4 linked regions of the Diceros bicornis minor genome follow. The protein of the gene in region 3 purifies or fractionates together with the protein of the main gene of each other region. This does not show direct contact. Links are inferred from orthologs where the notes say so. Each region holds a gene or a part of one and is shown on either strand. Other genes may lie near its edges. The genes, in order: ENKUR, SPTAN1, MYH9 and USP11.

What was found.
Region 1: the proteins of MYH9 (region 3) and ENKUR purify together in Homo sapiens (affinity purification with western blotting; 4 studies listed by BioGRID, with this or other methods). This does not show direct contact. The link is inferred for Diceros bicornis minor from reciprocal best matches to the Homo sapiens genes MYH9 and ENKUR.
Region 2: the proteins of MYH9 (region 3) and SPTAN1 fractionate together in Homo sapiens (co-fractionation; 3 studies listed by BioGRID and IntAct, with this or other methods). This does not show direct contact. The link is inferred for Diceros bicornis minor from reciprocal best matches to the Homo sapiens genes MYH9 and SPTAN1.
Region 4: the proteins of MYH9 (region 3) and USP11 purify together in Homo sapiens (affinity purification with mass spectrometry; 3 studies listed by BioGRID, with this or other methods). This does not show direct contact. The link is inferred for Diceros bicornis minor from reciprocal best matches to the Homo sapiens genes MYH9 and USP11.

What each region holds. Positions count from the first base shown.
Region 1 is NC_080775.1:24,233,696-24,240,779, forward strand, and holds the start of ENKUR (enkurin), read right to left. Parts: upstream 3,006-7,084; 5' UTR 2,778-3,005; coding exon 2,701-2,777; intron 1-2,700. UniProt on the Homo sapiens protein: Adapter that functions to localize a calcium-sensitive signal transduction machinery in sperm to a calcium-permeable ion channel.
Region 2 is NC_080767.1:36,367,783-36,375,128, reverse strand, and holds the start of SPTAN1 (spectrin alpha chain, non-erythrocytic 1), read right to left. Parts: upstream 3,146-7,346; 5' UTR 3,037-3,145; intron 1-3,036. UniProt on the Homo sapiens protein: Fodrin, which seems to be involved in secretion, interacts with calmodulin in a calcium-dependent manner and is thus candidate for the calcium-dependent movement of the cytoskeleton at the membrane.
Region 3 is NC_080764.1:13,205,487-13,213,615, reverse strand, and holds the start of MYH9 (myosin-9), read right to left. Parts: upstream 3,280-8,129; 5' UTR 3,127-3,279; intron 1-3,126. UniProt on the Homo sapiens protein: Cellular myosin that appears to play a role in cytokinesis, cell shape, and specialized functions such as secretion and capping. Required for cortical actin clearance prior to oocyte exocytosis. Promotes cell motility in conjunction with S100A4.
Region 4 is NC_080781.1:41,032,045-41,039,542, forward strand, and holds the start of USP11 (ubiquitin carboxyl-terminal hydrolase 11), read left to right. Parts: upstream 1-4,396; 5' UTR 4,397-5,871; coding exon 5,872-6,023; intron 6,024-7,498. Other genes in the region: CDK16 (cyclin-dependent kinase 16), read left to right, coding at 1-21, 103-145, 299-389, 2,097-2,174, 2,261-2,298.

The sequences.
Region 1 (7,084 bases), on a different chromosome or scaffold from region 3:
GAAAGAGGTGTCTAGTAGCCTACTAAATTGCAAAGAATTTGCCCTGTGTAACGATAGATGGAGATATAAAAGACATACTTATTCAATTTGCAAATGACACAAAGCTGGGTGGGATGGTTAAGAGAGTGTATGAAATATTCAAAATTCAAAACTTTCTCCATCTATTAATGAATTTTGATCAAAAAGAATCAGCCATACAGTTACAGGACGGGAGAGACCAATCTTAGTCATAATGCATGTGGGAATTTCAATGTGAGACGATGTGGGACATGACTGTCAAAATGCTAATGGATGTATTAATAAAAGTATTGTGTATCAAGGAAAGGAGAATAATGGTTCCATGGGCTGTTCAGACCACATCTGGAATATTACCTTAAACAAAGGGAAAGAGAAAATGATTGGAGATATTACATAACTGGAGCCATCAAGAGAAGGGTGACAAGTTTGGTGAAGATCTTGGAAACCATCTCATGAATCATGAGCAACTGAAATTTTGAAAACTGATTCATGGCTTCCCATTGACTCGAACACTTTTATACCTTAAGTCCCAGCTCACAGTTCAACTGCAAGAGGGTGCCCTTCACCCCACTTTGGTTACATATATCCATTTTCTAAGTTTTCATTTAGTATCTGCATCTCTCATGAGGGTTTTCAATAATATATGATTTTATTGTTAATCAACATTTTAATGTTTATAGTTCAGTTCCCCAGGGAAACTGTAACCTCTGAGGTATGGGAGATCACAGTGCAGTCAATTGTTGATTTTCCCAAGGAATTAACCTCTTTGTGAAAGCTGGATAGTCATCTCGCTAATCTTGCAAAGAGCTGCAGAGAGCTTTCTTGAAGCTGGGTTTATAACTTGCTGATGCAAATAAGCCTCATAGCTTAATACATTTCGTTCTTATGATTAATTCTTACTATTAGTAAGGATATTGGGTCAGGGCAAGTTTGTGGTGGTGTGGTGAGAAAGAATTGGTTAAATGTTTTATTATGCTCCGTTTTTATAAATTAATAATTTGCACACATGACATCTTGTCAAATTAAAAACTCCTCATGGTTGTTGCTGACAGTGTGGGTTGACTTCCCCCTAACAGAAAGAGTTCTTTGGCACCACACTTAGATACCTTCTATTCCCTTCACCATAAGTTCCTTTTCCCAACTTATTTCTTCAGAGTAAACCAAGGAGTTTGTGCTGTCACTCCAACATTCCCTGAGAACATTCCCCAAGGATGATGCTATACACATAAGAGGGGCTCAGTTAATGCTTGTCAAATGAACAAAGATTGTTCCTATAAGATTTCTTGAAAAGATCACCCAGATGCAGTAAAGCTTTTTAATTTACCAATGAACAGAACACCCATCTAATTAAGTATCTTAACATTCAAATTCAGTACTCTATAGAAATTACAGTCTAACAGCAGATTACAGAGAGGAGGAGCTTTATCTTGTACAATATACAGAAATTTTTGACCAAAAGTCCATTCAGCAATAGTTAATTTGAATTAATTAATTTTAATTTAAATTCAAATTAAATTCACTCCTCATAAACTCTGCAACTGTAATATATCTTACTTTCCATTCTTCTTTCTAATCTCTACTAGATTTTGAGTAGCTAATGGAAAAAAATGCAGGTACTGCTCTGGTTAAAACCAGATACTAACGCTTAACATGGAAGGATTTGCCCACTTGTTGATGATTTTAGGCACCCCAAGTAATTACTAGTAAAAATAATTGACCATTATATCTGAAAGAGACCTTAAAGATTATCTAGTTCATTTAGATTGTTTTACAGATCAGAAAACAACTGAAAATTTATTCACTATCCCAAAACCTATTAGTTGCAGAGCCTGTTTTTTAGCCCAGTGCTCTTTCAATGTGGTTTTGATTTGCATCAGGAAAAGGTAAAAGATAGCAAAAGTCCTAGAGGGAATGAGATTTTCCCCACTAGCTACCTTCTTTTCTCCCCATAGATTTAAATAAGTTCTAAGTCCCTACACAGGAGGGTAAGTGAGATGTTTACTTTGTGGTTACATTTCTGAAATTTGGGGAACTTAAGGGGTTCTAATACCTAAAAATTAGGTAAAAATTATAACTCAATTACATATTTTTGGGTCTTTATCCATCCACTCTTCTTCTACCCAATATTAGATCCTAAAAAGACCTTAGAAACTACTCAGTCTATTTTGTTTCACCCATCAAAAAAACTGAGGCTCAGAAACAAATAGGAATTTATGTTTGACAATAATCTTGGGAAAAGTAAGTACTATCCCTTTAGAGAGGGAGCAATAGCATAGTCAGAAATAAAACAATGAACTCCTGAAACCAAATAGCAAGTATCCTAACATAGGATAATAAAGTTGGGATTTTCTCTTTTCAACAAGAAATTTCACGCTACGTTGTATATATAGTACATCATGTACAAACAACTACATGAATTACAAAACAATTACAAACCGTATTAACAGAGGCTAACACGATAACTTGGCCCTCTCACAGCACTGGACTGCCCTCTCTGTGAATTGTGAGATGCTAAATACTTAGATTTTGCAACCTCTTGTCTAAGAAGTTGTCATCCATGGCTACTTCATTGAGCAACAATACATGTCATTTCTTAAAGTCATATGATGCTTAGTTAAACCTGAAATGAAATAATTATTTCCCATTCTTGTTTCAAGTGATCATCTTTGCTTACCCACATACCTAGGAGGCTGGGGAGGCTCCTTCCAGTCACTGGGTATGAGGTTATAAATGCTCTCAGAAGAGCACGTTGGATCCATGGCCACCAAATAACTCCTTAAACCCACACAACTTTTTTCTCACTATACCAATATCTCCGTCCCTTTCTTCACTGCGTCCCCTTTCCTTTCCTACTCTCTTGCCTTCTCAAAGAACTAAGGTTTCGTTTTCACATAAATCCCCTTTGACTTCTTCGCAGCCCCTCTTGGGAAGAAAATAAAATACCCCTTCTATTCCCCTTGGGGTTGCTTAGCGTGGTTAATAGCGCGGTTGCCATGGAAACAGTTACTAGGCGACGGGGAAGTGGAACGCAGCACCGCAAACTCGGTTTCCTCTCTTCCCTCTCTCTGCAGCAACATCTTCTGCCTGAGAAGTTCAACATGGAAATCACTGTTTATATGTGCCTTTGGGAGTAATGGGGTGAAGAATGGCGTCCTCTTAAAACCGTTGCTCTTTCCTAGCTCTGTATACTTGGAGAGAGAGAGAAACTCTACCTGAGACAAGAAGAGCAGCTGGTATGCAGGCGTCACACAATCGGGCTCTTGTGCGCAGGCGCCAATCCCGGTGGGGGCGGGACGAGCGGTTGAGGCCACGCTAACGCACGGCCAACGTCGAAAGCGAGACGAGGGAGGGGAGGAGCCCAAGGAGCTGGGAGGCCAGGTGGGTGGAGCGCGGGGCGAGAGTTACGTGCCCGGTGCGCGGCCGCTCGGGGCGTGGGCGTGGCGCGCGGCCGCAGGCGCAGAGGCGGCTGAGCAGGGGCCGGGAGGGCCCAGGGAGGCCTCGGGTTTGGGCACTGGCGGCTCCTGGACGCTCCCTCCCGTTTCCTTTCCTTTCCTCCGACTTCTCAGTGTGGTTTTCTTGGTGAGTTATTTGAGGAGAAAGACAGGGACACTGTAGAATCCAGTCCGTTAGCATCGCATGCCTTGTCCCCCCTCGTTGCTTCCCCTTTCCACTACTCGGTTTGTCATGTCAGCTCTCTGCGCTCGTTTTCCGGCTGCTTCTGTCCCCGGCTGCTCAGAACTCGCCGCGGCCCTGCCCGCCACCTGTGCGAGTGAGCCCCCCCATCCACCTTTGGCCGCCCCCCCCGCCTTCTCCCGCGCATCGCCTCTTCCCTGCTCTCCGCCCACTTTACCTCTTGGACGGGCGCCTCCTATTTGTTCACCGCCTGTGAACTTAACGATTTTTAAACGACCCCCCCAAACCAGAAGGAGAAGCCTTTTAAATGGGCCCTTGAATTTTTGCCCATTTTTTAGGTGTCCCTTTTGGAAAATTGTCTTCTTTCTGAGAAGCAGTTTTATTCCGTTTTGAACCATTTGGTCTTCCATAAACCTATTTATGCACGTATGACTGCTTAAGGAAATTCATTTAGAAGCCTTTGCCATACCAAGTCTCTGAAAGACTTTTTGGCAATACTATTTGGGAAGGAAGAAAGATGGTCGTGAACCAGCCTTACAGAGGCCACGCTGCCCAAAGGGAATGAAGATGCTCGCAGACAAGAGAGAACAGCGGTTTTAGTAGTCTCGCTGCCAGGATGCTCAGGGGAGGGATTAAAACACGAGGGTGTCTTGGTTAACTTTCTAGTTCCTACTTAAAAGGCTTTGCTGAAGGTGTAGATCCTTATCATTTTTGGCTGTTGGTGAATTTCATTAAGTAAGAATAAATTTAGTTTTCTTTTATCCAGTTGGTCAGATTTTGATTTTTATCCCAGGCGTTTTAACAAGCATTTAATTCAGATCAGTGACACTTTGAGGATGATGCTCCTGTATATACTACTTGGAACACTTGGGGACTATTTATGTTAATCAGATCCTAAAAGAGCCAATAAGGGCAAAGCATGATTTTTCCAGTGAGTAAGCACCAACCGGCGTTAGCTAGTCTTGACCTTTTGATGTGACTGAATATGGTAATTTCACTGATATCAGTATATTTATTGTGGTTTTAAAAATACTAAACAGACTTCAAGATCTCCTCACTATAGTATATTTAGTTTACAGTCAAGATGAAGTTGTTAAATCATTTTGAAAGGAACTTTCTTTTTCTTAGATACTTGGTTTGTAATTCTGCTTGCCTTTTGAAAGCATGTCTACAAAGAATATATTTCTAATTTTTATAATTCCCTCAAAATGGCAGTACTGTTCAAGGAAATGCCTGTGTCCAGTATGTCCGCAGGGAATTGGTATTGGTACACCATCAGAGGTCATGAACTTTTTCTGTAAAGTGCTGGATAACAAATATTTTAGGCCTTTGCAGGCCAGATGGTTTCTGTCCAAACTACTCAGCTCTACCATTGTAGCTCAAAAGCAGCTGAAGACAACACTAAACAAATGAACGAATGAATGAGCAAAGTTGTCTTCCGGTGAAACTTAATTTACAAAAAGGGTGGTGGGCCAGACTGGGCCTGTGGGTTGTAGTTTGCAAAGACCCCTGATATAAATGATTGTACATCCAAGTTAGGTTTTCTTGCTAAAGGTTATTTTAATCTACTGAGATGAATAAAACAGGCATAAGTGGGCATATAAATAAGACAATCGGGAGGAAGATAAACCGTTTATAAAGACATTCTTTACAATATTTTTCTAAATTATAGCATTGAAAAAGATTTTTAAAAAGTCTTGATTTAAATACTCAAGACCATTAAGAGGGTATCTAACAGCAAAAGACGAACAACAGGACAGGCTTAGTCAGCTTTGATACTAAGATAAAGGCAGAGATGAGTGGTGAACTTGCAAAATTACGCTTTTGATTATAAGATCCCTGTGATTACAAGATGGCACTGATATGTGTGATCCTTCCACCCTCGCCACCTCCGATTTCCAGGGAAGTAGGAGCTGATTGACTAAAGGGCTTGCTGAGGGGATTTTTGCTCAATAGTCAGAAGCAGCAGAGTTTGCTTGCCCCTGGTTAATTTATGTCCTTGTATATTTGCATTTTTTCTTATTACTTATTGGAAAACAATTTATTGCTGTAAAAATGCAGTAATTTTTAAGAATTTTTTAAAACCTCAGAATTTCTTCATAAGATAATGGACTAGGTTAAATTTCTCTTCTGAGAAATTTAAATAGAGATTGCATTAATGTAGGATGACAAGCATAATCGTGTCATAAATATTTCAGAAGTTCATTGAACTATAGCCAATTCTCATCATGAAATAGTTTTTGAAGTGCTATGTCTTACTTTTTATTTTGGAACAGTATATAATGACAGATATTTTAAATTGGTGACAAATGCTAAATCATTTTGACTAAATAGGATTTTGGCAATTTCCCAGGAGAATTAGAAACTGGGTAGTTTTATAGTGTAAGTGAAAAATTCTTCTGGACCATTTTGTAAGTAAAAATTGATATGGGCTGAGTATGATTTTGGTTATCAGTCATCTAGTGGTAAACTTAGGAAAACATCACTGTAAATGGGTTGTTGAAAATTAGTATGTATTTCTGGTTTAAAAATGTAACTTTATTATCATTCATAGGAAATAATTTAAAAGTCATTTAAAAAAGTGATTTCTGTGTTTTTTTTCCCTTGAATTCTTTATTCCATTTTGATCAGCTTGCCACAGTAAAATTGTTAAAATTTGTGTTTTGAGATCATGGTACTTGAATTAATACGTACATGTGGGCATTCTGTTTTTGTTTTTTAAGGTTCTTGCTGTAATACTGACACAACACTGCCTTTTCATTTATCTATTTGAATGACAAGTGTCTTTTATGTCTAAAAAATATCCATTGGAATTAGTGGGTCAAAAGCCCCGCTATAAGTGATCAGTAGGAAAACATATTTAAAAATTATTAATGTATAATGGAGTTGTGTAGATCTTCCATCCCCTGAGGAGTTAGAGAGTGTAACTAAAGTATTTTTGTGTAGAACTGGCTCTACAAAAAATATTTGAGAAAATTAATGATACAATAAAACCTGAGTACTTTATGGCCAAGAGATTTGGTCTTTAAGTACTATTTTTGTTTTCTGACTCTTATGTGATTGACTTCTGTTTAATTTGAAATAATTTTGTCCTTTGGGTGAAGAAAAATTGCCTATTCATGACCATCATACTGAAAAACATATTAAAATATAAATAAATAAAAATCCAATAACATGGCTTTGAATCATATATGCAGTTGGTCCTCACTTTTCACAGGTACCGTATTTGTGAATTGTGGTCTCTATAATTTGTTTATAACCCAAAATTAATACTTGCATCACTTTTGCAGTCATTCATGGCCACGTGCTCAGTGTTGAAAACTTTGAGTCTCCCGATGTGCGTGTTCCAAGCTGAGGTCAAAGAAGATGAGGCTCTGCCTTCTTGTGTCAGCTCTCATCCCGTAAACAGGGTCCTTTTCCATTCTCTTTAGTG
Region 2 (7,346 bases), on a different chromosome or scaffold from region 3:
AAAGATCATGCAGGCAGAGTTTTTTCCCCCTCTCTTTGGATCATTCAACCTCTTTGACACAAATGTGTCTTCACTGCAAGCCAGGCAAACCCGAAAAGCCAACACGTTTCCTGCATGCCGGTCAAATACCTGGACTCTGCGCTTACGAAACGATGACAACATGATGGAGGAATGTGGAGGCTAAAGACAGGGGGAGAGCAAGACGACAAGCTTCTGAGGCCAAACTGAACAGAATAATTTCAAAATGAAGAAAGCAGACCTTTAAACACATCGAATACAGGTAAATATCAAATTTCAGATGTTTTCCCGACGCCTGTCTTATTCTATGGAGCTTCTAAATCCCACCAGGGATTTATTTTATTTTTTATTTTTGTGAGGAAGACTGGCCCTGGGCTAACATCCGTGCCCATCTTCCTCCACTTTATATGGGACGCCGCCACAGCATGGCTTGACAAGCGGTGCGTCTGTGCACGCCCAGGATCCGAACTGGCGAACCCCGGGCACTTCACCACTTGTGCCACCGGGCCGGCCCCCCCACTGGGGATTTAAAATGTGGAAAGAGAACCAAGATTCTCTGGTCTTAGCAGTTCCTATCTAAAAGATGTGCGGCTTTGGCCAAGTCATATCCTCTTTTGGGTCTCAGTTTCCCCACTTTTCAAATAAAGTAATAATACTGAATACACTTTTTAATGATAAACATGCCCTCCCTCGACCCATATTCCGATAAACTGAGACTCCTGGGACTAGATGATTCCTAAACCCCCCTTCCATTCAGTAATAAAATAGCATGATTTCATGAAATCATCAGAAACAAGAATTAACTCAAGCTACAAAGATCTGACTTGGGCCTAGTTTACTGGTACATTTCCTTTACAAAATACTATTTCCTGTTCAAAACCGGTACAAGAGGAATATGCAAAAAAGGTGGAAGGGAGGTAACCAGCACAGCAGCTGCTCCAGTCCACTGGCCCCCAAGTGATCAGCTCTGCGTCCCTCCTCTGCATGCCTCGAGTCAGCATTTGCCACCAGGGCGTCGCATTTTTCTACCTACTCTGATCACAGCTGTAGCAGACCCGCCTGCAGAACCAGCGGAGTCCTCGAATAGCCCAGGGAGGATTGATTACAAGGCCGGCCTGGTGCCCACTGTCCTTAATGCAGGTTCAGCAATGCCAGGACTGTGGACTATTCCTGATTTCCACTTCTCAGGATGTGCAGCCGGCCCCTCCCTTTGCGATGGAGGCAGGTAAGGAAAAGTAGAGAAAATTCTAATGCAGGGAACCAAAAGATATACTTAAAAAACAGCTCTCTCCACCTACACCTGTTCATCAGATTGCTTGACAAGCTCATATTAGAGCCTGTGACAGATCGGATTTCTCCAATTATTAGATTACTACAAAACTCACCGCTGAGACCAAAAGCGTATCAGAGAATGTTATCAGGCTGATGGTTTACATTAGGAATGGCTTCACACCTGTCCAGCACAAAGCAAATCCTCCTTTCAAGTCTCCTCTCTCCATCTAGGTCCCTGGATAACAACTAACACACTTTGAGGGTCCCTTTGAGTAATTATTGGCCCAGTTACTAAAAAAGGCTTATTGTTAATTTCCTGCACGGAGGCCATTCTGCAGCGCTTTTTTTTTCCTGCAGCACATTTTTTAAACTTTGACTTCAATTTGACCTTTCAAAATCTAAGACACTAGCTGCAAGCAAAGGGAAAAATAAATGACTAGTTTAAGGAGGTGGAATCTTGGCTCAACGGCTTCGTACAGCCAAGTGTTCCCACTGCTATTCTGAAGGTTTGCTGTTTCCTGGCTGCAAGACACCCCCATCCTTCCATCTTTGATACATTCTGATTTACTCAAGTCCAATTGCCATGACGACGCAATTTCTCCACACGTTATGAAAATACTTCATATGTTCTCTCTTCTATTCTTCCCTAACAGCCATGATGGTAAGTTTTTCTAAAATACCACGATGAAGACAGAACAAAGGGCCTACATATTTTAGGATCTATTATATAAAACAGATTTGACAAGGTGCTGCAGCAATCCAAATATCATCTCAAAACCGCTTTCTGTGCTATTCAGGCTTTTAATTTAAAATATATGCAACCCTTAACCTTAACAAGCCCCTTATTTAAGATATTTTATTTCAGTACATCAAAGGGACTTTTAAAGGCAATTTTCTTGGGGAAGCATCTAATCAAATTCGCAGGGATGGCTTTCAAACAAAAGGCTGCTTCTATCATTCCACACCGGGATGGCTGTAGAATTTTTGACAAATATACCGCCCTCGACTCGAAAGACCCAGTCTCGGGGGGGAAAAAAAAACAACCTCGGAGCTATTAAGTTATTTGATTTAGGTCTCATACAAAGCAAGCGCCGCATCTACCTATAATTTACAAGCGAATCACAACTGGGTAAGAAAGAAATGTTTATTACAAGGTAAGAAAAGGAGATGATGGCCAGTCTCGGACCGTTCTGCGTCTAAAAGAGAAGGCCAAGACTCGCCATACAGGATAAGAATAAGGTCAAAGAGCCCTTTACTCTGAGGTCGGTTCTTCCTCCTTCAAGGGTTGGGCCGGCATTGCTTGGGGGGATTGGGGCAAAGGAGCTGCAGAAGTCGCTCCCCACGAGGGAAGGGACTGGGGGCGGTGGGGGGAGCGCTCTGCAGGGAGGGGGAAGGTGACGATCCGACCAGGGAGCCCCCGCCCCACCTGCCGCAGCCGGATGGGGCCGGACTCGGGGAGGGGGCGGGGAGGGAGCCGGCGGCCTCGCTCCCCCTCCGCCCCGTCAATGACATTCCAGCGGCCGGCGCCCAGACTCGCCAGGCGGCTCGTCCGCAGCCCACGCGCCACAAGCCGGTCGCGGCCGGCTCGCCCGGCTCCCGCCCGACCGAGGGTGCTGCGACGCCCGCCCGGCTCACCTGTCCGCGCGCCGGCCCCGCCCCGCCCCGGGGGCCGCCCGGCTCCCCGCCCGGGGGCCGCCCGCCCTGGGGGCCCGCTCCCGCCCCGAGCTCCCCCGCTCCCGCTCTCACCGGCTCCTGGAGGGTGAGGGCCGTGGGTGCGTCGGGCTGGAGGGTGTGGGGTGCTGCTGAGAGACCAACGCGCCTCCGCGGCCTCCGCTCCTCGCCGTTCGCTCCGCAGCGGATACTGGCGGCGACGCGCGCGCCCCGCCCCTTTTATAGGCGGCCACGCGCGTTCCGGCGGCGGGCGGGCGCGAGCGCGGGGGAAGCGCCTCGGCGCGGCGCGAGGGGCGGGGGCGAGCGCCGGAGAAGCAAAGGGGGCGGAGCTCCCGTCGGCTCAGCTCCCGATCGCCGGGCGGAAGGGGCCGAACCTTGCCGGAAGGAGCCGAAGCGGCGATGCAGGGGAAGAGCCGAGCCGGGGGAGCGCAGCGGGAGGATGGGGAAGGAGGGCGCGCGCCAAGGGTGGGGGTTGATGGTGCAGAGGAGTCGCTGCCTCCGCCCAGGCGGGCCGAGATGCTCCAGCCACACCGCCCTCCCCGCAGCTTGGATCCTCCAATCCTGCCCCTCCCCTCCCTGCAGAGAATCTTCTGCACCCCACCCCTCCGCCCCTGGGAGCCTTTCCAGGACTGCAGCGAAGGGCGGGGCAGGGGCCATCACTGCAGTCTGGCTGGAGATGCTGCACACCCCGGCCGGAAAAACGCCCAGTCCCAAAGGGTGAGGTCACCCGTGTGCTTCTCTTCCTCCTGGCCCCTTTCCCTAGGAAAAGGCTGGGGCTGCAGACCCAAGTCAGCCTACTCGGGTGGTGGCTGAGGTCAAGACACCCAGGATGATTTTTGTCTCCGGGATTGAGAAGGTGGTAAGAAAAGGCCAAATCCGATTATAAAAAATAAAGCCTACTAATTTGGAGTTTGTCATTCCAGAATTTTGAGAGTTAATAATTTCTTATATTCTTACAGCAAAAGCTTTCTCACAGGTCACTCTGGGAATAGGATGCATCAGTCGTATTTTATAAACAAGATATTAAGCTTCCTCCTGCCACAGTTTACTGAACTTTCCTTATGTACCAGCACTATGCTAAGCACTTCATGTGTATTACCTTTTTCTTTTTAATCTTTGCAATAATTTTATGAGGTAGGTGTTATTTCCCCATTTCACAAATGAGCAGCACCCTGATATGGAAGCTAGGTCTCTTGCCCTGGGTCAGGCAGCTAACAAGAGGAGAAGCTAGGATTTGAATCCAAGCAGTCAAGGACCTACTCTGAAACAGTTTGTTGGACTGCCTTCCCATAGGAAAGAGAGGCATTGTGATGGTGGATGCCAGGGTGCAGAGAAAAGAAAAATAAGAGGATTTCTGGAATTTCTGTTCCTTACAGTCTTAGAAGCTCAAGGGCCTGGCTCTAAACTCTATAACTAGAAGCCCTTGGTTAGGAAGCCCTTTCCCCACCCCTACTCCGGTGACAGCTGGGTGGCAGCCATTGGGAGTAACACCCAGATCATTCCTGTGCAGTCAGGCAGACCAGGAGCTCTGCAGCTCAGGAAGGCCTCAGCCTCCCAGTTACCAGGCAGCCCTCTTTAAATCAATATAAAGGCACTGGGCACTGCACCAGAGCTTGCACCCAGGCCGAGCCCTGAGCTTCCTGGTCCTCTCCAGTCTGGCTTCTTCCTCTGTGCCTGGGATCTGCAATCTGGTTTCTAAGCAGTCTTGGCTGTAGCCATGATAGTGAGGAAAAATTCTCCCATTCCTTCACTCCATCAGAGCAGAGAGAAAAAAGGAGTGGCCACACACCAGAAGCAGCTTTACAGAATCTGGAGGAAAAACGTAGGAGCTGAGAGGCATTTCCTGCAATCTCCTCTGTAGAGAAAACAGGACCGGTAACTCTTCCCTGGGGTGTGCATTTCTGGGAACAGCTGATGGCAGCGACAGCCTCTTCTCCAGCGGGGAGCAGCAAAATGTTTAATCAGATATTCAGCTCTGGGTACAAAATGGCTAACACAATCACAGCTCTCCAAAATTTCCAAGACCTTCTGTTCCGGCAAAGAATGGGTCTCAAGCCTGTGGCCAGGAGCTATAAAAAAGGAGGATTTTTCTTTTAGATCACTCTGGCCTCATTAGGAAATGGGGGTTTTGCTGCTTTTACCAGATGCAAAACAGATTTGACCTTAGAGAGAGCTTCTATATTGAGACAGACACTGAAATCATATTTGTTGATCCTTTGTCTGATCTGAGACATGGCCAAAAAGCAGTGTCTCCAGCCCTTCTGCCTCCCCCTCACTCATGCACCCCAGTCTGCATTTGGCACTGGAGGCATTTAAAAAGCCATTTTTCACATGTTCTATTGTCTGCCTACCTCACCTCCCACCAATTTCACCATAGCCTAACACTCTGCTAGGTGTGGGGAGAGGGAGATGACAAAGCAGATAATGGCCTCTTTGTTGTCTGAGAGAAACTCATTCAGAAAAAAAAAGAAAAAAGCAGAGGACAGTATAGCAGCTCTGTAACCAATCAACTCCAGGTTCTCAGTCACTTCGTTCCTGGCCTCGTGAAAAGCGCAGGTAGCTCCTTTTCCTAGTTTCCAGCGTTCTCTGAAGGTTTGGTATATGCCGTAAGCTTAGGCATCTAAGTGGTCTCAGTACATTTTCAACTTGTTCAAGAGGTCAACCGTTGGGGAATACATCAATTGTAATGATATTTTCACGTGTTCCGGCCATGGAAAGTTACTTGCCCACTCTCTCTGGGTGAGTCTCTACACACACGCACGCACGCACGCACAGTTAACAAGCACAGTTAACAAGCAAGCGCTAAGCATTCCTCTATTTTTCCTCGAAACAAGGGAGCTGATTGGGAAGTCAGGCCAGAAGTGGACTGCACTGCTTCCCAGACGACATTCTGCAGTGTGAGAGCTGGCAAGGAACAGCACAGACCTTCAAAACAGTGACTGGAGGAACCTTAATAAACCAGACACAAAAGGACAAATATTGTATGATTCTGCTTCCATGAGGTCCCTAGAATCGTCAGATTCATAGAGACAGAGAGTAGAACATGGGTCACCAGGGGCTGGGGGAGGGGTAGAGGGAGTTAGTGTTTAATGGGGACAGAATTTCAGTTTTGTGAGATGATAAAGTTCTGGAGGTGGATGATAGTGATGGTTATACAACAACATGAGTATACTTAATACCACAGAACTGTACACTTAAAAATGGCTAATATAGTAAATTTTATGTTGTGTACATTTTGCCACAATTAAAAAAAAAATGAGACACCGTGACTGCTTCTGAAATCAGAGACCACATTAGAGAAGAGGCCTGACAACTGCTGGGAGCATGGCCTTGACAGGCTGGTCTTTTTTTTTTTTTTGGTGAGGGAGATTGGCCCTGAGCTAACATCTGTGCCCATCTTCCACTATTTTGTATATGGGATGCCACCACAGCATGGCTTGATGCGTGGTGTGTAGGTCTGCACCTGGGATCCGTACCTGCGAACCCAGGGCTGCTGAAGTGGAGCTACGCCACTGGGCTGGCCCCCCAGGCTGGCCTTCTTAAAAGGACTGCAGGTGACAGCAGAGAGGTGAGCTCCTCTCTCCCCTGGGACATCTTCCTAACTCAGCTCACTTATGTCATATCTGTAATCTTGTGGGCTGACTTGTTAGGCCCCGTCAGTCTCTACACCTCCTGTTCATCTTGAAGACACAGTTAGAATGTTTCACAAACCATGTCAAACTCTCTCAGAAATCTAGTAGCTTCCCATTGCCTACAGAATCGTGCAGACTATTTCAATAGAGATTCAGGAGCCTCCTCAAGCTTGTTCCAGCTTACCTTTCCACAGGATCATTTCCTCTTGCTTTTCTCCAGACCTGAGCTTAGCCACCTCCTAAACAGGTTATTTTTCCAACTTCATGCTTTTTTTTTCTGCTTGAGTAAGATTGTCCCTGAGCTAACATCTATGCCAATCTTCTTCTATTTTGTACGTGGAAGGCTGCCACAGCATGGCTTGATGAGCGGTGTGTAGGTCCATGCCTGGGATCCAAACCTGCAAACCCGAGGCCACCGAAGCGTGGCGTGTGAACTTAACCACTATGCCACTGGGCTGGCCCCAAGAAAAATATTTCTTGAATGTCATCTGTATGAACTGGTATTTAAAAAATGAAGCCCGGCGATAAACTAGAGGATAAATTCCTTTATAATGGGTGTTTTTGTAAATTCATCACATAGCTGGAAGACCCCAGCTCTCACCTGCTTTCTGCAGGTCCCAGGAAATCTAACATCAGGAATTCATTAGGTGGGACAGAGAAAAGGGAAGTGAATGACCAGGTTGGATAAGGCACCTGTAAGAAGCTCTGTGGCTCTTTTGGTTGTCCTGGCATGGAGTTAGAAGACATCCAAAC
Region 3 (8,129 bases):
AGCACCCCAAGGGTTAAGGCCGAGAGGCAGGGACTCTCCGGGGCTGCACAAAGGGAAAATGCACTTCCTGCCCCTGCGGGCAGAGATGCTGTTTTATGCTCAGCAAATTAGGACATTTGTTTAATTAAGACGACACACAGATTTTTGTTATTCTAAATATTTTTGGAACATGATGCTTGGGAGGAAGCTGTCAAGGCATGGATTCTTTTTTTTCCCTTTGCTTTGGCTTTCTCTTTCTTCCCCTCCAAGAGAAGGGTAGGGCCCGGCTCAATGGAAAACAACAGCCAACCCCTCCTCTCCTTTTGAAATAAAGATGTCAAGCTGGTAAGGGCTGTCTTAAGTACTTTACTGAAGGATTAGCTAGAAGAGGAAGTGAAGAAAACACAGTCCGCCTGGTTTCTAGCAATACCCTACCAGGCTACATAACAATGCTGCATTTTTTGAGTGTGCTTTTCTCCTTTTAAAAAGCTAACAGATCCTTGTTTTGTTTTTTCTGGAGCAAGAGGCAAAAGCCAGGCTGTGATTAACATGCATCCTTCATCCTGCAAGAGGGAAGTTGTCTCATCTCCAACCCCTTAGGTTAAAAGCTTAAAAATAAAAAACAGGGGCCGGCCGAGTGGCGCAAGCGGTTAAGTGCGCGCGCTCCGCTGCGGCGGCCCGGGGTTCGCTGGTTCGGATCCCGGGCGCGCACCGACGCACTGCTTGGTAAGCCATGCTGTGGCGGCGTCCCATATAAAGTGGAGGAAGATAGGCACCGATGTTAGCCCAGGGCCGTCTTCCTCAGCAAAAAAAAAAAAGAGGAGGATTGGCGGATGTTAGCTCAGGGCTGATCTCCTCACAAAAAAAAATAAATAAATAAAATTAAAAAAAATAAATAAAAAACAGAAGTCAGGGCCCTGACCCTCTCTTTCGTCTACTCTTATGTGCCCTTCAGACCGGCAGCCCCACAGAATACACCTCTCGGGCTGCCATTCCCCAAACAGAGCCTGCCAATCCGGGCACCTAGATCTGCCCACAGGCACTGCCAGGACTTGCTGGATGTGAATGGTAGAGCTTTCTGGTGTCACTCCGGCGGCTCTCAAATTACAACGAGCAATCTCTTGACGCTTTTAATTACCACTCAGTTAACCACTAAATGAGTCCTCACTTTCCAACACCAAATGCTTGCCTCAGTTTACCAAAGCTGCAACGTGCTCCTTCCTCGAGGCAGCTTCCCTCCTAGCCCCAGACAGAAATGGCCCCTCGGAATTCCTCGAGTCCTTTGTCTGTGGCATGCTTGGGACACTCATCACAGGCTGTCTTTGTATTTCAGTCATTCGGCCACTATTTCCCCTTGAGGACTGTAAACTCCCCTCCAGGAGAAGGCCTGGGGGATCTCCGAAAGATAGGCTGGCTCCCTTCTCCCAATCCCCATGACTCACAGTACCTTTCTGGGGTCTCTGTCATCTTTGCCTCACATTAGAGTCATCTACAGATTTGTCTCAGCTCTGCCCTAGGTGCCAGAGGGCAGGGGCCAGGTCTTACTCAACCTTACACCCCCACCCCCACCACCTGGTAGAGTCCCTGCCACACAGAAGCCAGTTAAATATTTGCTCGATTACACATCTGCGTACCCTCCCCCCACCCCCAGCAGCCTTGTATATAAATTGACTAATATTAATCGAGCGATTGTCTCAACAGGCCTTAAAGCAGCCTCCCTCCTTACCAAAAAGGGAATAAACCACTCAGGGAGGTTATCAGGCCAGGCTCAGACAGTGGAGTCAGAAATGGCCACAGTGTTGCAGGAAGGAGCTAAAGCTCTCTTCCCCTTCAACAGCTACTCAACGGTTACTTTGAAATCTTGTTAAACTCAGCAAAGGGTGCAGTGAACCACGAAGCCGCTGAGCCTCTCGATTGCCCAGAGGAGAGAGCCGCCTGTCTCCAGGACCTGGGACTTCCCAGGAACCTTCTCCCCACACCGGCTGGGTGCGGCCGCGACAGCAGCCCCGGCAGTCACCCAGCCCCCACCTCAACACAGCAGGCAACCTCGTCCTGGAGGGTACTCCGTTTCTGTTTGAAACAACGCGGCTCTGAAGGGATGGGAGGGGTGTGCGGTCCTGCCCTGGGCGTGGCCCCAGGACAGCATGGGGTGAGGACCCCTACACAGGAAGTAGGGGAGGGGGGCATAGAAAACCCGGGATCTAGCCCAGACAGGAACGACGCATAGCCCCGGCCTGGCCCTAAAGGAGCAGAGCCCAGCTGCCCCCGCCCCCGCCCGGTGGGCGGCCCGCAGGTGCGGCGGGATCAGGTGCGCGTCCGGACCACGCAGACGTCTGCGGGCATTCCCGGGCCTCGCTCTCCCGGGGAACAGAAGTCCAAAGACAAAGGTTGAGGGGCTGGGGGGGGTCTTTCCTGCCTCGCGGCCCGGTACCCGCCGGGTCCCCCTGCCCCATGCACCCACCGCACCTCTCCGCGTCCCCTCCTCCGCCCCACTGCTCGCAGCCGGGCGAATGAGGAAGTCGGGAGCGCAGGGCGGAAACTGAGCCGAGCGCAATGTCTGCTGCAGGATTGTCCGCTTCTGAGTCAGGAGGACGCCCTGACAACTGCCAAACGGTCCCCGCCTGCCCGTTACCTCCGTTTCGAAAATGCCTGGAAACTTCCAAAGGAGCCGCTGCCCCGAGCCCCCCACCTTACCCTCACCCGTGCGGCCGGGTCCAAGGGACAGAGGCTCCCCGGAAGGGGTTAAAAAGTTTGCCCAACTTGGGCACTGGGCGAGGCGAGGGCGGGGCGCGCGCCCGGCAGCAGGGGGAGGTCGAGGCTCCGGGTGCCCCGCCGCGGAGTGCGCCGGGCGAGGGGAGATGGAGGGTTTCCGGGGGCGCCCGGCCCCGAAGCCTCCCTCTGCTCCCCGAGGGCCTGCTTCCAGCGGCGCCTTCCCCGAGCGTCCGCGCGGGGGTCCCGGTGCCCCCAAGGGAAGGATGCAGTGCCGGGCCGACCCCGCGGCGTTCGCTCCCGCCCACGCCGGTCGCCCGCCGCGCCGAGGCCGAGAACCACACGCTGGCCTTCGCGCCCCAGACGCCGCGCGTCCCGTCGCCGCCGCCCCGCCCGCCCGCCCGCCCCGGGCGGGACCGGCCAGTGGGGCTCGCTCACCTGAACCTGGATCTGCCCCGGGGAACAGGCGCTGCTTCTCCCGAGAGGGCTTTCTCGAGCGCTCGGGCGACGGCGGGGTGGGGCGAGCGCGCGAGGCGGGAGCTGCAGCAGGTCAGCCTGGCTCAGCCTTTCGTGCCCTGCCCAGGAACCGCGGTGATCTGCGCGCCTCACCGCACCCAGCTCCCCTCCTCGCCGCCTTCCCGCCCCGCCCTCGAAGCCGCCCGCCCATTCCCAGCCCGGCGCCGGCTCCGGGGAGGAGCCTGGAGGAAAGACCCCGCCCCTCTGGCTGTTTCACCCACTCCGGCCCGCTCCTGGTCTTGATGGACAGACATCTTGACCTGTGGGATGGGGTAGGCGGAGCCTCTGGGCCAGAGGGGTGGGGACTTGCCCTCCCCATCCGCCCCACCTCCACCCTCTCCACCTTCCCCCCCGCTTCCTAGGCGGGAGGCCCGCCCCCTAGGGCGGGCCCAACGAACAGCCAGGTTTCAGGAGGGGGATTGACATAGAGGGAGTCCAATCAGGATGAGGAGGCTCGCAGAGGCCTCCGGCCCGGGATTTTGGGGCGTTGCCTGCACCGGTGCGAGGCCGGGCCGGAGGAGACGGGGGAGGTCCCGGGTTGACGCCCCGCCCCGCAAGCTGTTTTCCCTGTCCCAAGACATCCTACCAGAAGAACAGATATTAAGTACCATATATGGGAAAAGTGCTATTTTACATAATTATGATGGCCTGCGGGGGCGGATATGAACTCAGCCCGGATCCGTTGCGGGCGCCCTGAGTTCGGTTTCTGACCATCTCTTTAGAGTGGGCACGCTGCTGTCTTATAGGATCCAGACCTTTGCTCGGAGGGGTTCCCTCTGCCTGGAGCGCCCTTCCAAACCTCTCTTCACCTCCACGTGGTTAACTTGCACCCTTCCTTTCAGATTTTGTTACAAAATGTTTAATTGGGTTTGTTTGGGGTTTTTTGGTTACTGCCCGCTACGAAAAGATAGAAATTTTTAAAAAATTTTTCACACTTATCTTTTAATCCATCTGGAATTTATGTTGATTTTGGAGTGAGGAAGAAATCTAATGTAATTTTTGTAATAGCCAGGTGTACACACACCATTTTCTCTGCTGACTTCAGGTACCACCTTCCTCACCTTTTGAGCTCTTATATATGCTTGGATCTGTTTCTGAGCTGTATCCATTGATCTCTGTGTGTTCCTGTGCCAGTTCCACAATACTTTCATGATGATAGCTTTATAATACATTTTATATCCAAGAGGGCAAATTTCTCATTACTCTTTCCTTTTGGAATGTTCTTCCTATCATGACTAAACTATTCTTCCAAAGGAACTTCAGAAAAAGTTTATGATCAAAAGAACACTGGAAAAAAGATTTTGCAACTCTGTGACAAAGAATTACTATCAACAGTATATAAAGGGCTCTTTTCGGTCCATGAGAAAAACCCCAAATACTCCAAAATAAAAATGACGAAAAAAGGAACAGGCAATTAAAAACGAAGAAATATAAATCCCCAATAATTATGAAAAGATTGATCTGAAATGCAAACAAAACAACATGGGATACCGTTCTTCACCTATCAAATTAAAAAAAGAATAAAAATGCCCACACAGATGGGAAAGTAAATTGATCAATTCTCCCTAAGAATTCATCATAAAAAAATAACTGGAGGGGCCGGCCCTGTGCGCGGTTAAGTGCGCGCTCCACTGCTGGCTGCCCAGGTTCAGATCCCGGTGCGCACGGATGCATCGCTTGTCAGGCCATGCTGTGGCAGCGTCCCATATAAAGTAGAGGAAGATGGGCACAGATATTAGCCCAGGGCCGGTCTTCCTCAGCAAAAAAACAGGAGGATTGGCATGGATGTTAGCTCAGGGCTGATCTTCCTCACACAAAAAAAATAATAATAATTGGAAAAGTGTACAGATATGGGTTAAAAAGTTCTTTGCAACATTGTTTATAGTCATTTAATATTAGAAATAAATGTACAATATAAGAGATTGATTGAATAAATTTTGATAGATCCATGTGTTGAAAAATACCCAGAAAGTGATTAAAATTTTTATGTAGATTTGTATTTACTGATTTAAAATATACTGAGGAAGAGCAAATTATAGAATGCTAATACTGCAGGATTTCATTTATTTTTATGCAATGTTTGTACGTGTGTGGGTGCCTGACGTGTGTGTGTATGTGTGTGTACGTGTGTGTTTCAGAGAGAGAGAGGCAATGAGGTTTAAAAGACATTATATCAAAGTGTAAATAGAGGTTATGTCTTGGTAGAAGGATTGTGACTGATTTTTTCTTTTGCTTATCTGTTTCTAACACATATATCACTTGCATAATTTTTCCAAAATGGAAGAAAAAGACTCACTTCGATGTCACCGCTTCCAAAAATCTTCCATGACACTCCAGGCCAGTTAGGTGTCCCTCCTCTGTGTTCCCACATCATCTTGCGTTTATCTCTCGCATAGCACTTACACACTGGATTATAATTGTCCATTTACTTGCTGTTTCCTCTGCCGAGGCTAGAAGCTGCCTAAGGGCAGACAGAGGCTGTGTCTTCTTTGCCTCTGTGGACTGAGAACTAACACAAGGCTTGGCATAAAATGATCCTGAGTGAATGCTTGAGCAGGACTCAGACAGCATCTGTTTCCTTATCTGTAAAATGGGTATAATCGCTGGGCCTTGCCCAACCCGCATGACTGTTGGGAAGAACACAGGAGACGTGGACCTGAAAGTGTTTTGTAAACTACAAAGCAGTGTGCACTTACAACAGAGCGTTATTGATAATGATCATTTCCATTTTCCTCACACCCCCAGATTCCTAGCACCACCCTCTCTAGGAAACTGAGGTCACTAAGAAGATGGAAGGCCTCTGTCAGCTGGCGCTGAATTCTCTCCTCCCCATCCACCAGCCTAGATGCTTCCCTAACTAAGGAAGTGTTCCCACTTGCTGTCCAGCCTAACGCCTCCTCTATCTTCCAAGACCTGCACCCTTGATAGTGTCTACTCTTGTAATAGTTTAGAAAAAATTTCATCCGTTTTTTCTGGGTCTTAACATGGTGTCATGGTTGGTATGGAAAATGCTAAAAAGAAAGAAAATAAAAATCACCCATAACCTAACCACCTCAATATATCAACTATTAACAAACCTTGTTATTTTCTTCAAATCTTTATACATACACACACAGTTAAAATGAAATTGAGAGAGCTACATATATATGGTCACCTGATTTATTACAAAGGTGCCACTACAAATAAGTGGGAAAAGATGGTCGTTTTAATAAATGGTGCTGGGTCAATTGCATATCCACATGTGGAAACGTGAATCTTGACTCCTACACTCACACCATTGCCAGAAATAGTTTAGGATGGATCAGAGACCTAAATGTGAAAAGTAAACAATCAAACTTCCAGAAGAAAGCATAGGAGAGTATCTTCATGACCTTGAAGTAGGCAAAATTTCTTAAACAAGACACAAAAAGTATAAACCACAGGAAAAGATTGCTAAATTGAACTTCATTAAAATTAAGAATTTCTGTTCATCAAAAGATACATTTAAGAGAGTGAAAAATCAAACCACAGACTGGGAAAAAATATTTACAATATATTTACTATATATATATATATATATATAAACAAAGGAGGTATAACCAGAATTTATCAAGAATATCTATGTTAAGAAAAAAACTGAAAGGGCCGGCCCCGTGGCTTGGCACGCTCTGCTACTGGTGGCCCAGGTTCGGACCACTGGCACGCACCGACGCACCGCTTGTCCGGCCGTGCTGAGGCGGCGTCCCACATACAGCAACTAGAAGGATGTACGACTACGACATACAACTATCTACTGGGGCTTCCGGGAGAAAAAAAAAGGAGGAGGATTGGCAATAGATGTTAGCTCAGGGCCAGTCTTCCTCAGCAAAAAGAGGAGGATTTGCATGGATGTTAGCTCAGGGCTGATCTTCCTCACAAAAAAAAAAAGAAAAGAAAAAAACTGACAACCCAATTTTTTTTTAATGGGCAAAGATTTGAATGGGCACTACATAAAAGAGGATATCTAATTAGCCAGTAAGCAAATGACAAGGTACTAAACATCATTAGTTATCACAGAATGCAAATTAAAACCACAATGAGATAGCACTATCCCCAACAGAATGACTGAAATTAAGATACCAAGTGTTGGCAGGGATTGGGAGCTACTGCAATTCTCATAAATTGCTTGTGGGAGTATAAGTTTCTACAACCACTTTGGGAAAGTGTTTGCCTGTATCTACTACAGTTGAATATACATGTATACCCTATGATCCAGCAATTCCATTCTTAAGTATATCCGCAACAGAAATGAGTGCTTAAACCCAACAAAGACATGTACAAAAATGATCATAGCAGCTTAACATAGCCAAAGTAGGAGGAGAAAAGTTTAGCAGTGGTGAAATAGATAAATTGAGTGTGTTCATACAATGGACTACTATACAGAAATAAAACAAGAACAAACAAATGCTACATGTAGAAAACACAATGACTCCAACGTCCATGAACTGATGAATGGATAAACAAAATGTGGCATATTCCTACAATGGCATATTATTCAGCAATAAAAAGAAATGCTATAACATACATGCTACATAATACAGGCTACAACATGGATGACCCTTAAAGACATTATGCTAAGTAAAAGGAGCCAGTCACAAAAGACCATGTATTGTACAATTTCATGTATATGAAATGTCCAGAATAGGCAAATCTATAGAGAGAAAATAGATCAATGGTTGCCAGAGGCTGGGGAGAGGAAAGAATGGGAAGTTACTGCTAATGGGTATGAGGGGTCTTTTTTTGAGGCAATGAAAATGTTCTGAAATTAGCTAGTGGGGATGGTTGCACAACTCTGTGAATATACTAAAAAACCACTTAGTTGTATACTTTAAAAGGATAAACTGTATTGCCTGTGACTTATATTTCAATTAAGCTGTTATTTTTTGTTTTTAATGAATGGCTCTCAC
Region 4 (7,498 bases), on a different chromosome or scaffold from region 3:
CCTTTTGAGCCATGCACCCCGGTGAGGCTGGTGGGTAGGTGGGTGTTAGGGGCCAGAGTGCCCAAACTCAATTTAAAGCAGGTCCCCTTGTTCTTGTGGTAGACTTGACAGCGATGGGGCTGATCTCCTCACCAAGTTGCTGCAGGTGAGACCATCTTCCTGGGCCAGCCTTGGGGGCTAAGGGATTCCAGGTGTAGGGAAACGGAGTTCCAGGGGCAGGGTCTGGAGTGGGGAGGAAGAGAGGCCTACTCATTGGAGGTGTCAGTATTCCACACATACACCCCCGCCCCCCACTCAGTTTGAAGGTCGCAATCGGATCTCCGCAGAGGACGCCATGAAACATCTATTCTTCCTCAGTCTGGGGGAGCGGATCCACAAACTTCCTGACAGTGAGTGGATCTGGGGAATGGAGCTGCCGGTGGGGGGCCTGTGGGAAACAGGACAGCTGCAGACAGCTTGGGCAGGTCGTGTAGGGCTCTGGCTACGCCACCTCTAAGAGGGTACACCCTTGTTCACACGTGTGATGTGTTTATTACAAAAAAAGTTATTTTCGTTTTTAGTTCCTGTCACCTTTCATAGAAATTTTCAAACATACATAAAAAAATAGATGCAACATCACTTTACCTGGTGTGCGTGTGTGTGTGTGTGTGTGTGTGTGTGTGTGTAAGATCGGTCCTGAGCTAACATCTGCCAATCCTCCTCTTTTTTGCTGAGGAAGACTGGCCCTGGGCTAACATCCATGCCCATCTTCCTCCACTTTATATGGGACACCGCCAACAGCATGGCTTGACAAGCGGTGCGTTGGTGCGTGCCCAGGATCCAAACTGGCAAATCCCAGGCCCCGCAGTGGAATGCGCACACTTAACCGCTTGCGCCACCGGGGCGGCCCCTACTTTACCTTTTTTTTTAAGTAAATGTTTCCTTGTAAAATATATACTGAGAAATGCACAGATCGTAAGTATACAGCACAATGAATTTTCACAAACTAGACACACCCATGTAATGGCATCCAGGTCAAAAACCAGGATGGGAGAAGCTCCCCCAGCGTGCCCCCATTTCCTTCACTTACTCCCGGTCCCCTTCCCAAGGGTCACTGCAAATTGGACTTATAACCACATAGATAAGGTTTCCCTGTCTTGTACTTTACAGAAATGGAATCACACGGGGTATTCTCTTTTTATTTTTTTATTTTTATTTTTTTATTTTTATTTTATTTTTTTTGGTGAGGGAGATCAGCCCTGAGATAACATCCGTGCTAATCCTCCTCTTTTTGCTGAGGAAGACCGGCTCTGAGCTAACATCTATTGCCAATCCTCCTCCTTTTTTTTTTTTTTCCCCCAAAGCCCCAGTAGATAGTTGTATGTCGTAGTTGCACATCCTTCTAGTTGCTGTATGTGGGACTCGGCCTCAGCATGGCCGGAGAAGCGGTGCGTTGGTGCGCGCCCGGGATCTGAACCCGGGCCGCCAGTAGTGGAGCGTGAGCACTTAACCGCTAAGCCACGGGGCCGGCCCTGGTATTCTCTTTTTATATCTGACTTGTAAAAACTTTTTAATATGGATATTTTAAAATTAGCTATATTTATATACTAGACCAAATAATAGGTTGAGTCCCCAAGTATTCCAATAGATCATCAACTTGTGGCCAATCTGGTTTTATCTGTATTCCTTCTGATTATTTTGACTCACATCCCAGACATATCGTTCATCTATAAATAATTTCAGCATGTATCTCCAAAATATTCTTTTAAACGTAATGATATTATCACAGCTAAAAAAATTGGCCCACTTCTCATGTCTCCCCACTGGATTAATCTAAATCAAATCCCAGATACCATCCATCACCTAGACTTAACAGGTGGTAATTGTAGTACCATCGTCACACTTGACAGAATTAATAATGATTTCTTGGTGTCATGTAATAGTCTATATTCCACTTCTAGTGTATTTGGTTTGTGTGTGGGATTATTTAACAGACGAAAGTCAGGTCTCTCAAAGAAAAGGCAAATTTTTCTAGTTTGCCCTGTGGGGCCATATGGGAGGTGGTCCTGCATGGCCCCATGGGTCATTCCCCACTTCTGTCTCTCCTCCACGCACAGCTACTTCCATATTTGCACTAAAGGAGATCCAGCTACAAAAGGAGGCCAGCCTTCGATCTTCATCAATGCCTGACTCAGGTAGATGTGGCCCTCGCCCTCTTCCCTGCCTCTTCCACCTACCTGCTTGCCTACCAACAGCCATCCGCTCTGCTTTCCCCCCGCAGGCAGGCCAGCTTTCCGTGTGGTGGACACCGAGTTCTAAGCTGAGTTCTAAGCCACAGATCAAGGCCCCAGCAGGCAGCGGCTGGAGGGATGCCACACCCCTCACAGGGCAGCCCCCCAACTGCATTCTCCCTGCTTGCTGCCTGCCTACCTGCCTGACTCATGCTCGCCTGCCCACGTGTCCCCTGCTGCCTGTCTGGACACCCGACCATTGGCCTGTCAACCCACCTATTGGCCTGTCTGCTGGGTGCTAACAAAGCTCTCATTGCTCCTTCGCCTGGTCTCTCTGTCTGTCTCTCTCTCTGTCTTGGTAGTTGCCAGCGGACAGCATGGCCATGCCAGCCTCCCACACTGAGGCCGGGCCTGTACCCCTCCCCATCAAACCCTCCCCCAGGACCACTACCCCGTGGCCAGCCAAGGGGCCGGAGCTAGCCCAGGCTGGGGATCTCGAGTCAGACAAGATGTGGTGATGCCTTGGGTCTGAGGCTTCCCCTGCCTGCTTTCCTGCCTGCCCCACCTGCCTCATGTTGTGTGGGCTTTTTTTTTTTGTTTCATTCATTGTTGTTTTTTAATTATTTTAAATGAGGTTTTCATTTTTTAAATGCAATATCTCTGTATACAGACTGGCTGGGCTCCACCCCCTGCGTGTGGCCCTCCCACAGTATTTTGTGCAATGAAGCCCCACTCCCAGCCTTTCTAAGGCAGGGACACAGCCCCTATTCGGAACCTTGACCATCACCAGACCCTGGGGTCAGCTAAGGGAAAGCATGCCTCGACCAGTCGCCTTCCTACCCCCGCCTGCCATCCCCAGCCACAGGGGGAACTGGGGACTACCGGAGACTCTCTGGGAGATGGGCGAGGTGGGGGGCCCCCACTCTTTCCCTCCTGCAGTCCCATAGCTGGGGCCTTCTTCCTTCTCAGGGTCTCCCTAGCCCAGCCCTCCTGCCCCCGTCCCACTTGGTGCTGTTGAGTAGGGGCCCTGCCAGGAACTGACCAACTCAATGAGGAGCCATAGTGTGTATATGTGCACAAGCAGGGGCAAAGGGGAGCATGGGGGGTTGTGCCCAGGCATTACCCTCTAACTCCTGGGGAGGGTGAGGCAGGGCAGGGACAGTCTCTGGGGTCAGTCCCAGATGGGTGGTTACCTCCCCTTCCTCCACTCTAAACCCTGGGGCCCTCAGATGGGGTGGGAGGGCAGCAGTGGGGGCCCTCCTAGTGGGGTTTGGGGGGTTGGGTTCCTGAATGCACCATAATTGCTGTATGAAATATTAAAGTCTAAAGTGAAAAACCTGATTGCAAATCCCTGCAGGGGTGGGGGTGGGCTTGACCCAGGGTTAGTACTGGGACCTTGGCGAATTCATACCTGGTCCCCAATGTCTAGGAGAGCACTGAGAGTGGGCCAGGGGCACATCACGACTGTGAAAAAGGCATCTGAGGGGTTGTACACGCAACAGTGGAACATTGAGTTGAAGCAGGTAGGGCAGGCCGAATAGAGGGGCTCAGAAGCAGAGAGAGGAGTTAGATTTACCCAAGAATATGAGGAAGCCAGATAGAGGGTAGAGATAGGTGAGTGTGGAGAGGTTGTTTGAAAGACACTTGGAAGGCCCAATAAAACCAGGAGGTGGGGAGATGAGGCAGAGAGATCCAGTATGACCACTATATGTCTGACCAGGACACCATGAGTTGGGCCAGTTGGAGAGGGAATATGAGAGGAGGGTAGATTTTGGATCACTGAGTAGGTAGGGGAATCCTTTAATACATGGGTCAAATTGAGGAGTTGGGCCATCGATGGAACTGGAAGTTTGGATCATTGGTGTCTAGGAAGTAATGGAAACCATGGGCATGGGTAAGGTGATGCTGGGAAGGATGCAATGGTTTGTGAGAATCCAGAGGTTAAATGGTGCAGCCTGGAACTTGGCCTCAGGTGTGAGGATAGCTGAGGCTTTGGGGGCTGGCATCACAGTAATAAAGACACAATCTTTGCCCCGTGGAGGTTAACTGAAAATAGAGGTAAATTATGAGATTGTGTGTATGGGTGTATGTGTGTGTGGAGGGTGTTAAATTGTGCAGGGAGAGGGTATTCTGGACACTCAAGGCCCAGGGACCTGTGTGCATGGGCCTAGAGGCATGGAAAGGCAAGGTGTGTTCTTGCCTGTGGGAATGGGTGGTGACAGTGAAGGAAGTCACTGAAACATCTGGAATCATGAACCTGTCTTGGGGAATTTGTGGGACGGTCAGGTGAGGACAGCGAATAGGCAGGTAGATGCAGGGAGCCAGAGAGGGAAATGACGTTATCACCAACAGGCAGGGCTGGGAGCCCTAGAAGAGAAAAGGATGGCATAGCCTAGTGCAGTGGTTCTCAACCGGAGAATCCCCACCACCACCACCACCACTAGGGGATGTTTGGCAATGTCTAGAGACACTTTTGGTTGTCCCAATTGGGAGGTGCTACTGGTGTCTTGTGGGTAGAGGCCAGGGATGCAGCTAAACATCCTACAATGCTTCCCACAACAGAAATATCAATGTTGTCTTGGTTGAGAAACCCTGGCCTAGTGCAATAGTTCTCAAACGGTCTCAGGATCCCTTTATATTCTTAAAAATTGAGGACATCCAAAGAGCTTTTGCTTATGTCATGTAGCCCCTGGAAAATTACACCGCACATGCAAGAAAGAATGGCAATGGAAAAGTATTGTGAAAATAGTTTTGACTTTGTAAACCCCCTTAGAGGGTCTCCTGAACCAGTAGAAAGCCTAGGACCACAGTTTGAGAATCCTTGGCCTGGTGTTTAAGATCACAGCTCTAGAACTGGAATTCCTGAGTTCGAACCACAGCTCAGCCATTTACTAGCTGGAGCAAAGTGAATTAATGTTTCTGGACCTCAGCTTGCCTCATTGTTGCCCATGGACCACAGTGATATTATCTGCTGCCTAAGGCTACTATTTACATGCAATAAAGCACTTAAGCAGGGCCGACTATTATTAGTTATTGCTGTAACTCCAACAAATACACAGGGCCTAGGGCTAACTTGCCTTCAACACGTTTGTCTAGAGAATAAATCTGGGCAGGCAGGGAAGCGGCCCGCAGGCCTGGGTGGCGCTTTAGAGGTGGTGACCTTTTTCGCATTGGGTTTTTATGGATCAGAAGGGTAGTGCAATGAAAGAAAGGCATTCTGGTCAGGCTAACAAAGACGCTGCTCGCAGGGTAGAGGCCCCCAGCAGAGCATGGGACCCGTAAGACCAGAACCTGTGTGTGTGTGTCCCTGAGCACTCCTGAATATGTCTTCGTCCACCTCGGGGACCTCTGCCTCCACCTTCCACATTACCGTCTGCCCTGGCTCAACATGGTGTCAGAATCCCACAGGGTACCTTTGTCTTTCTTAGTTCCCAACTGGAGGTTTTACCCCGCCTATTGGTCGCAGTGATCACCGCCCACAGCCCGACGCCTGCCTAGCCCTTCCACGCGTCCAAGCGTGGGGTCCATTTCCAAGATGGAAGTAGCCCCCCGGCGTTTGGGGGGCTCTGTTTCCGCTTCCGGGACCAGAATCCGGAAGTGGCAGTTGAGGGGCCTCTTCCTATCACCAGCTGCGGCGGTTGTGAGAAGAGGGTGAACGGCCATGGCGGCAGTCGCAGCGGATCCGGCGGCTGCGGATGCGGCCGAGGACCGAGAGCCACAGCGCGAAGCCATGCCGGGCCTGGAGAGCCAGCGGCGCCAGATCAAAAACAGCGAGAGTGGGCGAGAGCGTCCACTGCGGACCGGCGAAAGCTGGTGAGGCAGGGCGGCAAGCGGAGCCTCGGCTGAGCGGACGGTGGGGGCGTCGGCTACGGGGCGGCCGTGGTCCACAGGAGAATCGCCGTGGGGGCGGGGGCACTGGCCTGTGGGACGGAGGACGAGAGGGGCGGGGAAGTGCCTGTGAGTGGATCGCCTCCTCTGGGAAAGAGGCGGGGCCTGTGTGGTGGAGCCTGACGCCTGAGAACAAGATGTGGTTTGTTGTGGAAAGGCAGGGGGCAGGGCCTGAGAAGAACGGCCCTGGGGGTGGGGCCAGGCGTGTGTTGGAACTCGGAACCTGGGAAGGAGGCGGTCTCTGCAACAGAGCCCGGGGGCGGGGTCTGTGTGGCGAAACGGGGGCGGTGCCGGGTACCCCGCGGCGCCTGAGCGAGGCCGGGCGGGTGACGTCGGGCAGAAGAGCGGGATCTGAGCCTTACGGCTGTGGGCAGGAGGAGGGAGCTGGCGCCTGGGAACGAGGCTTGTGACGTGGTCCGAGGGGCGTGTCCTGAGCCGGAGGAGAGACTGCAGAGGGGAGGTGGTGTCTGTGAAGCAGAAAATGGCGCCTGCGAATGAGCAAAGTTTGTGACGCGGTGAGGTTTTTGCCTCTGGCCGAGGCCTTCTTCCCGGGACAGGAGAAAGTGCAGGTGATTGGCATGGGAGGGGCCTTCGATGTTACGTTTGTTTTCTGTTTTGGTACTGTTTTGTTTTTGTAATCAGGAAAAAATAGTAATTTAAAAAAAAAGTCCATGCCTATCTTGATAAATCGGCTTGTTCTACTGATTTCTTTGCTAACCAGTGCTTGAAATGAACTGTTTATGGGTTCATTTTATTTCTCGCTAAGTTGCATCCCGTTTTTTAAATTGTGAAATTCGTGAGACCTAAAAAGATGATAGAAAACGTTTACGTAGCGCAGATTGATGGACATTCCATAAAAATAAACGGCCTTTGCTCTTCAAAAATTTCAAGGTCGTGAAAGACAAAGGATGAAGAACTGTTCCAGACTGAAGGAATTAATGGGATTTAACGAGTCATGATAACTAAATGCAACGTGTGATCCTAGATTGGATCCCGGAGGAGAAAAAATAAATTATTTAAAAGTCAGGTTTTTTTCTCATAAAATTAATTTTCTCTCTTTTACTATAAAAGATATTAATGAGAAAATTGGTAAAATTTGACTAAGGTCTGTAGATTAGATATTAATACTGCTAATTTCTTGCTTTTGATAATTGTATTGTGGTTATGAAAGAATATCTTTATTTTTTTGGAAATACATGCTGAAATATTTAGGAGTAAAGAGCCATCGTGTAAGCAGCTTACTCTCAAATGCTTGAAAAAAAAGAGCATATATAAAAATGTATTGAGGGGGCGGGCCCAGTGGTGGCGTAGTGGTTAAGTTCGCGCGCTCTGCTTCGGCGGCCCGGGGTTCGCAGGTTCGGATCCCGGATGCGGACCTCCGTACCGCTCATCGAGCCATG